Linked DNA regions of Macaca mulatta. The protein of the gene in region 1 binds, or shares a complex with, the protein of each later gene. Links are inferred from orthologs where the notes say so. Each region holds a gene or a part of one and is shown on either strand. Other genes may lie near its edges.

The links.
Region 2: the proteins of PER2 (region 1) and CRY2 are in contact, whole or in part, in a crystal structure (PDB 4U8H), measured with the Mus musculus proteins. The link is inferred for Macaca mulatta from reciprocal best matches to the Homo sapiens genes PER2 and CRY2. Residues at the interface, in NP_035196.2 of Mus musculus: Tyr1132, Leu1134, Gln1135, Asp1136, Pro1137, Trp1139, Leu1140, Met1142, Ala1143, Asn1144, Thr1145, Ile1149, Met1150, Met1151, Thr1152, Tyr1153, Gln1154, Leu1155, Arg1158, Asp1159, Leu1160, Val1163, Leu1164, Asp1167, Gln1168, Lys1170, Leu1171, Leu1174, Gln1175, Ser1177; in NP_034093.1 of Mus musculus: Trp58, Ser63, Ser64, Val65, Lys163, Leu166, Thr167, Lys169, Arg170, Glu215, Leu216, Gly217, Phe218, Asn330, Pro331, Ile332, Cys333, Ile334, Gln335, Ile336, Pro337, Asp339, Asn341, Pro342, Glu343, Leu345, Ala346, Lys347, Ala349, Glu350.

Annotation. Positions count from the first base shown.
Region 1 is NC_133417.1:143,533,697-143,537,736, reverse strand, and holds the start of PER2 (period circadian protein homolog 2), read left to right. Parts: upstream 1-1,236; 5' UTR 1,237-1,674; intron 1,675-4,040. UniProt on the Homo sapiens protein: Transcriptional repressor which forms a core component of the circadian clock.
Region 2 is NC_133419.1:19,745,868-19,749,382, reverse strand, and holds part of CRY2 (cryptochrome-2), read left to right. Parts: coding exon 1-101; intron 102-336; coding exon 337-488; intron 489-613; coding exon 614-816; intron 817-1,126; coding exon 1,127-1,253; intron 1,254-2,342; coding exon 2,343-2,514; 3' UTR 2,515-2,516; intron 2,517-3,515. UniProt on the Homo sapiens protein: Transcriptional repressor which forms a core component of the circadian clock.

The DNA.
Region 1 (4,040 bases):
TCCCTGGTCCCCAGGCGAGTCCAGGTAAAGAAGAACAAGAAGAGTAAAGAGAGATGCTGCGGGTTCCAGCTTCCTGGACAATCTCGCCTTCCCCATGGGAGCCTGCACTTTCAGAGTCTGCTGCATGGGAGCCTGCAAGCTCCTGCCTGTCCTGTAAGTCTCAGGCTTCTACCCAGACCAGGGGAAATTGTACTCTCTCTCCTGACACTTTAAATGGAAGTTTAGAGGCTCATCATGCCCCAAACAATGCTTACTGAAACAGCAAACCCTCAGACAAGGTGATGCACGCTGCCGCACTGGCTCCCAGGACAACCTCCCACCACGGGCTTCTCCGTCTCTACCGCTTGCACCTTCCTAAGGTGTCCCTTTCTCAGGGCCCATCCTACCCGCCCTGGAAGTGCTGCCTTTCTCACGGAGCCTGTGGGGATAGCTCTGGTTAATTTATAGCCCACATCGCCCAATTTAGCATTTGATTAAGTTTCCTTTTTATGAGACAGTCCTTTCTCCCTAGTGATGCGCTTGGGGGCAGAGACAACATCATTTCTTTCTTTTGTACCTCCCCAGAGTAACAGTGACTCTATTTCCTGAACCAAAAATTGTAACACGTGGTAACTGCCGGGACAAGTGTGGACCACAGGCACCTCTGAGGCCCGGGTGGGCGTGCCCCAGCAGCTGCTGCAGGGCGGTGCAGCCACCTTCTCCTAGGCTGCTCTGGGGCCCGGCGACGAATGAGTGAATGAGTAAATGAATGAATGTGTGAATGAAGCATGCTGCGCAGACTTTCCCGCGGCCCTGGCCGCTGGGGGCGCGCCTCTGGCCGGTGGCCGGAGGTGGAGGTTTCCCTGGTCGGGCTTCGGGGCGCCAGGTCGGCCAGGCCGGCCGGAGGTGCACAGGAGCCCCGCGCCCAGCTCCCCCGCCCGCAATGGTACGCGCCACTCCGCGCTCCCGGAGCTGGCGGACTCGAGGGCGTCGTGAATGGAAGGCGCCGACGCCGGAAGTGGATGAGACCACTAGGGAGGACGACGGGGGGCAAGAACGCGCCGCATCTCCATTGAAGAACCGACGAGGTGAACATGGAGTTCCATGTGCGTCTTATGTAAAAAGAGCGACGGGCACCGCTACCAATGGGCGCGCGGCGCTAGTGGGCCCCGCCCCACGTGTATGCAGATGAGACGGTGTCGCGGCCAATGGCGGACGCCGGGGGCGGGCGCGGCGCGCGCGGTCACGTTTTCCACTATGTGACAGCGGCGACTCGGCCGCGGCGGAGGCGGCGGCGCTGAGGGGCTACGTGCAGCTGTGGGCGGTGGTGGCGGCGGCGGCAGCGGGCGCGGGTCCGGGCGGACAGAGCCACGAGTCGGCGGAGGGACCGGCGGACGGGCCGACGCGAACGCGGCCGGGCGGTAAGTGGCGCGGCGCGGCCCCGCTGCGGCTTACGTAACCGCCGCCCGCGCGTTGGCCTCGGGCAGGTCGGGGTCCCGGCGCCGCCGGGAGTTCCCTGGGCCGCTGGACTCCTCTGCTTGAAACGGCGCCGGCGTGGGGGCGTGTGCCGTTGGCCCTGTCTCAGGTGGAGGGCGGCCGAGCTGCGCGCAGGGTGCGCTCGTTTGAATTGCGCTGACACCGCGGGTTGGGGACTCGAACCCCCGTTTCGCAGCTCAGGAGCCTGAGGTCCGAAAGGTGAGGCGGCAGCGTGTGTAGGGCACCGAGTTGCTGAGTGACTGCGCGTGGGCTGCGGTTCCGTGGGCGATTCTCTTTTGGGAACCCTCCCTCCCCTCCCCTGGGGAAGGCCAAGGAAATCAGGGGTCAGCGCAGCCGGCCCTGGGATCTGGAGGTCCCTCGGGGAGCTGACTGCCTCCTCTGAGGCCACAGGGCCAAGTCCTGGGCTGGGGAAGGGCTGTGGAAGGGCGCTGATCTAGGAGCTTTTCCTGGACACCCACGGGTCTCCTGGAATAGGTGATCAGAGGGACAAGGAAGTCCCTGTGCCAAGCCAGGCCTGGGAACCTGAGGGCAGGGAGACCGCCTGATGTTCGCCCCTTTGCCTCCCCTGGACCACCCTGTATTAATACCCTCTCCCCGGACTGGATAGAAAGGAATGGGGGTGTCCACTCTTTGGTGCAGCAGTCGCACCTACCTTCTGGGATGTACTTTGGCTGCCAAGTCCCAGACATAGACCAGGAGGTGGGAGGTGGCCTGCTTCCCCCTTCAGGAAGGCCAGGGTAAGGGATGACGAGTTGGTTGCCAGGGTTTCTGTAACCTACACAGAAGGAACCCGTTTGGAAAGCTGATTCATACAGAACAGAGCCAGAAGGCACCCTGAAATCACCCAGAGTAACCCCTCAGCCTGACAGATGAGCAAACTGAGGCCCAGGCCCAGGCTGTCTGCAGGATCTTCCCATCGCCCTGGGGCAGGATGAGCTTCAGAGGTTCAGTGAAGGCCTCAACTTGGGTGCTGAATCCTGGGTGGGCTGTAATTTGGGAGGAGGGGCCTTAAGTCCGGGAAATGTGTTAAGAACCCCACACCATGGCCAGAGCCCCCCTGGACCCCTCTCACTTTTATATGGCACAGCAGGATCACTAGACTTCTTGGCTTCCAAGGGGAGATGCCAACTTCTACCCCGACCTGGGGCTTCTGGTCCCAGACTGGGTGTGCCTGAGAAGAAAATAGGACTCTACCTGAAGGCTTTATTTGGAAATTGAGTTTTAAAATACAAGGTGAATTGAGTTTTGTGTGCTATATGACTATAATGAAGAAAGGGACTCCGTTGTTTTTTTTAAGTGGAAGCTGTGTGGTGTGCCAGCGCGGGGATGGTACCGTGGGTGTTTGCAGTTATCTGTCACTGTCGCCTTGGTGTGATTCATTGGTATAGAACTAACGCAGCCCTGGCTTTCTGTGGAGACTGGAGTGCCAGGTGGGAAGGGGGAGCCCTGCGTCAGCCAGCTGGCTGCTGCTGGGAGCCTTGGCTCCCAGTCTGGGCCTCAGTTTCATTTGTTCGGAGGGACTCAGATTGGGCAGTCTCAGAGGTCTAATTTAATTCCCAGGTTTTTGATTTTCTGTTACCCTACAGTTGATTTTTCCCAGGTTTCTCGCAGGAGACAGAGGCTTCTGATATGCTCTTGCCTTTGGGCCAGGTAATGTTCCCCTGTGAGCCACATCTGCAGTGCTTACAAGGAACAAGGAAAGATTCCTCTCCTGTGCACTATTTCTCATACACACTGAACTTTCTCAAAAATACTGGTCGTCACACTGCTGTTTTTAAGCCATGATGTAACTTCACCAGGACTCAGCAAACCACGGCTCTGTCAGGTCATTGAACAGCTGGCAGGGCCACTTGGCGTTTAGTCAGAAGAAAGACAGGCTCTGGGTGTGCTTTTACCTTTTGAAAACTACTCTGGCAGAGTGAGCCAGAAACACACAATTCCATAAGCTTGGCAGAGACTGTCCCCACACTTCTGGAAAGCTGACCAACCTTCAGAACCAAGGGAGAATCAGACAGTCTAGAGGGGGCCTCTGATGGGCCCCTCCCCAAGCCCAGGCACTCTCCCCTAGGGACCAGGCCCTCCTTTCAACTCATTATGCTCATCGTGTACACATTTGTAACAAGTTTGTTACCATATTTCCAAGTCTAGAGCACATTAGAAGCAGTAAATGAACAGCAGTGACGGGTGACAGGAGTCAAGGCCACTTGGTTTTCAGAGGCTGGTAGTTCCCAAGACAGAGTGGGCTGCTGTGCTGATCCCTCACCGGCCTCGAAGGGTTCCTCGTGCTCTTCCTGGGGTGACATAGAGGAATCAGAATCTGCTCTTTAAGAAACCAGGTGCAGGAGGAGCAGATGCCTCAGCTTCCCGCAATTCAGAGTAGCTCAGCCGCTGACACTTTTGCCTTTCTTATTGCTGTAAAGTCTTGTAGTTCTAAAAATGTAAGGATTTAAAAGTCTGAATTGAGAGCATTAAAGGTGTCCTGGTGAGGCCAAGACAATGCCTCCCTGGTGCACCTCCTTCCCTCCATATTTGGACGGCTGCGGTCACATTTTCCGCAGTTACCC
Region 2 (3,515 bases), on another chromosome or scaffold:
AACTGAGGCAGGAGGGCTGGATCCACCACCTGGCCCGGCACGCCGTGGCCTGCTTCCTGACCCGCGGGGACCTCTGGGTCAGCTGGGAGAGCGGGGTCCGGGTGAGTGCTCTCTCAGCGAAAAGCTGGCCTATACCCTCTGGTCAGGACCAGCAAAGGGCAGCCCCCTTCTGGGCTGAGGGATGGGGTGGGATTTCTGGGTCCAGGAGATCCCCTCCAGATCCTCTGTGGCTTGCCTTCAGCAGAAGGGCTCTGGCTCCTGGGGGCACTGTGGTGACTTGGGAAAAAACATGGCAGCAGATCCCCAAGGAGGCTGATCATCCTCTCCCCTATCTAGGTATTTGATGAGCTGCTCCTGGATGCAGATTTCAGCGTGAACGCAGGCAGCTGGATGTGGCTGTCCTGCAGTGCTTTCTTCCAGCAGTTCTTCCACTGCTACTGCCCTGTGGGCTTCGGCCGTCGTACGGACCCCAGTGGAGACTACATCAGGTGAGGATGCAGACCACGCTCTCTGGCTTCTGACCACTGTGGTCTCCTACTAGGATGGGATACCCAGGGCCCTTTGAAGGAGGGTCTAGGTATGCTGATGGGTCATCTGGTGTGTCTTATTTCAGGCGATACCTGCCAAAATTGAAAGGGTTCCCCTCTCGATACATCTATGAACCCTGGAATGCCCCAGAGTCAATTCAGAAGGCAGCCAAGTGCATCATTGGTGTGGACTACCCACGGCCCATCGTCAACCATGCCGAGACCAGCCGGCTGAACATTGAACGAATGAAGCAGATTTACCAGCAGCTCTCGCGTTACCGGGGACTCTGTAAGGACACAAACACCTAGCTCACTGAAGGGAAGGACAGCACCTGCAGGCTCGGGGGTGCCAGATGGGGATGGCCAGATACTTGCAAAGGGAGGCTGAGTGCTGTCTTTCAGGTTGACACCTTCTCTGGGTATGGGACACTGCAGGCTGGGATGGACTGGGCCTCCCTGAGTAGTTGTGGGGCAGTGAGAAGAAATGGAACCTCAGTGTCTTGCTCCTATCCTCCCCACCCCAGCTTGCTTCATCCTTCCCTGTAACCCCCTGCAATCCTGCGGGATGGCACTCTGATTACTCCCCGCCTCTCTCCCAGGTCTACTGGCATCGGTCCCTTCCTGTGTGGAAGACCTCAGTCACCCTGTGGCAGAGCCCAGCTCGAGCCAGGCTGGGAGCGTGAACAGTGCAGGTGAGCAGCAGCAGCCCACCTCCAATGGCCTCCTGTGGCCTGTGCCAGCACTTCAGTCATTCAGGACTGAGGCCAGAAGGAGGCCTTGCCCAATGGAGCTTATATTCCACCCAGGGCAGTCAGATAGTAAAGGAACCAAGTCGGATCATTTCAGATAACCAGTGCTTTGGAGGAAAAGAAAGTCAAGCGCCTTGACAGAGGGACTGGGAAAGAAAAGTTTCTTCTGTGTCACTTGAGATTGGAGTAGTCGGGGAACACCTCTGTAAGCAGAGACCCACGTCATGAGCAGTAGCCAGGCCTGCCACACACTGAGAAAATACCATTCCAGACAGAAGGAGTAGCAAGAAAAAGCTCATAAGCAGTACCAAGCTTAGCCCATTCAAGGAACCGAAGGGAGGTCAGTGTGGCGGCATGTCCCAGTGAGGAGCTGGGGAAATGAGGACAAGATACAGCATGAGCAGCATGTGGCAGGCCCGATGTCCAAGACGAGGACTAGGATTCAGCCTTCAGTGCACTGAAGGATGGTCAGTAGGGCAGGGCATCATTGGACTTAGGTCTGAAAAAACTCCCTGGCCTGCTGGGTAGAGATTGGACAGTGTAGGCCAGAGCGGGCATAGGGAGGCCAAAGAGGAGGCAGCACAGACAGGGTGGTGGCCACACAGAGAAAGACTGGACAGATTTGCTGCATTTGGAGCCGCCTCCCTTCTTGGGGATGAAGATGAGTAACATGAGATGGCACGAACACGGGTTTTTCTAGTTGGGCCAGCTAGGCTGCCTCCATGGGCAGCATGCCTCCTTCTCAGGGGCCCTGCTCTTTGCTGCTCAGGGAGGCTGATTCAGAGTTGCAGAGGGAATGCCTCACCTTCAAAGCAAGGACAGCAGGCAGGCCAAGTCAGTCTCTGGCCCATAGCCCATGCCATTTGGGGCCCAAAAGCTGGCCCTGCTACCAGCAGGCCTGCTCGGTCATGTTCTCCTTGCACATTTCCAGGCAAAGTCACTGCTGAAAGCAAGGCCGAGGGGCAAGTCTGAGGAGCAGCATGCTGGCATTCCATTGATGAGTGTGCTACCTGTCCCCTAAAGACCGCTGCTGCATAGTGTGGGGTCAGTTTGGCTGCATGCACAGTCTGTGTGACCCTTTGACACGCTTCCCTACAGGCCCAAGACCACTACCCAGTGGCCCAGCATCCCCCAAACGCAAGCTGGAAGCAGCTGAGGAACCACCTGGTGAAGAACTCAGCAAACGGGCCAAGGTGGCAGAGTTGCCAACCCCAGAGCTGCCAAGCAAGGATGCCTGAGAGTGAGTGACAGCAGTCTAGATTCAACCTCAGGAAGGAAGGTGGGAGCGGGGGTGCCTACTGCCCTGCCAGCTGAAGGTTAAAACATAACAAACTAGATGAAAATCTGGTGGGAACACCCAATGCTCAGCCACTAAAGCTTTACCATTTTACAGTGGCAGCCGGGTTCAATCCTGGCTTAGGGAATAAGTACTTTCTGGATCATATCCGTGTGACCCTTACCATTGGGCCTGCTGTGGTGGCTCGTGCTAGGATTACTAGCACCTTGGGAGGCCAAAGTGGGAGGATCGCTTGAGGCCAGGAGTTCAAGACCAACCTGGCCAAACCAACATAGTGAGACTCCATCTCTAAAAACAATAATAATAACAATCTGGTGGGACTGCATGACTTTTAGGATTTCAGCTCAAAAATCCCACCATTCTGACTTTTATCAGAGATTTAAAAGTCAAGCCCTTTTCTGTTTTTTTTTTTTTGTTTTTTTTTTTTTTGCTAGCTAAGGGAAAAAGGGAGGCATGGGGGTGAGGGGTGGCACTTTCTACCTATTAAAGTGAGTCATGCTCAACAAAAAGAAAGCTGAGACCTGTGTGTGAAGCAGTGGGGAAAAGGCCCATTGCAGGGTCTGAGGCTGCTCCAGGCCCCCTGCTCTCCGACAGGCTGTGTTCTGTAGGCCAGCCAGTGGAGGGCAGCACTGACCTTGAGAAGCCTGGACAGAGGGCTGTGCTGTGTCTCACTCGGTCCAGCCCTGCCTGAGGACCAGTAGACGCAATCTGTCATCATCTTTGCTTTTACGGCCTCTCCTCCCTTCTCACCCGTCCTGTGGCCTCAGCTCTGCACCTCCCTGGCAGCGCTTATCTTGGAAGCCTCCCGAATGTCGTCAAAACACTGGCTTCTCCTTTCCCAGAGCAGGAAGGGCCTTTTATGCCCCTCTTGGGGAAATGTAATTTCCTGTCCCCTCTGAGTCATCGTCTCAGGCTGTTCCTTATGCACCGTGTCTTCGTCAT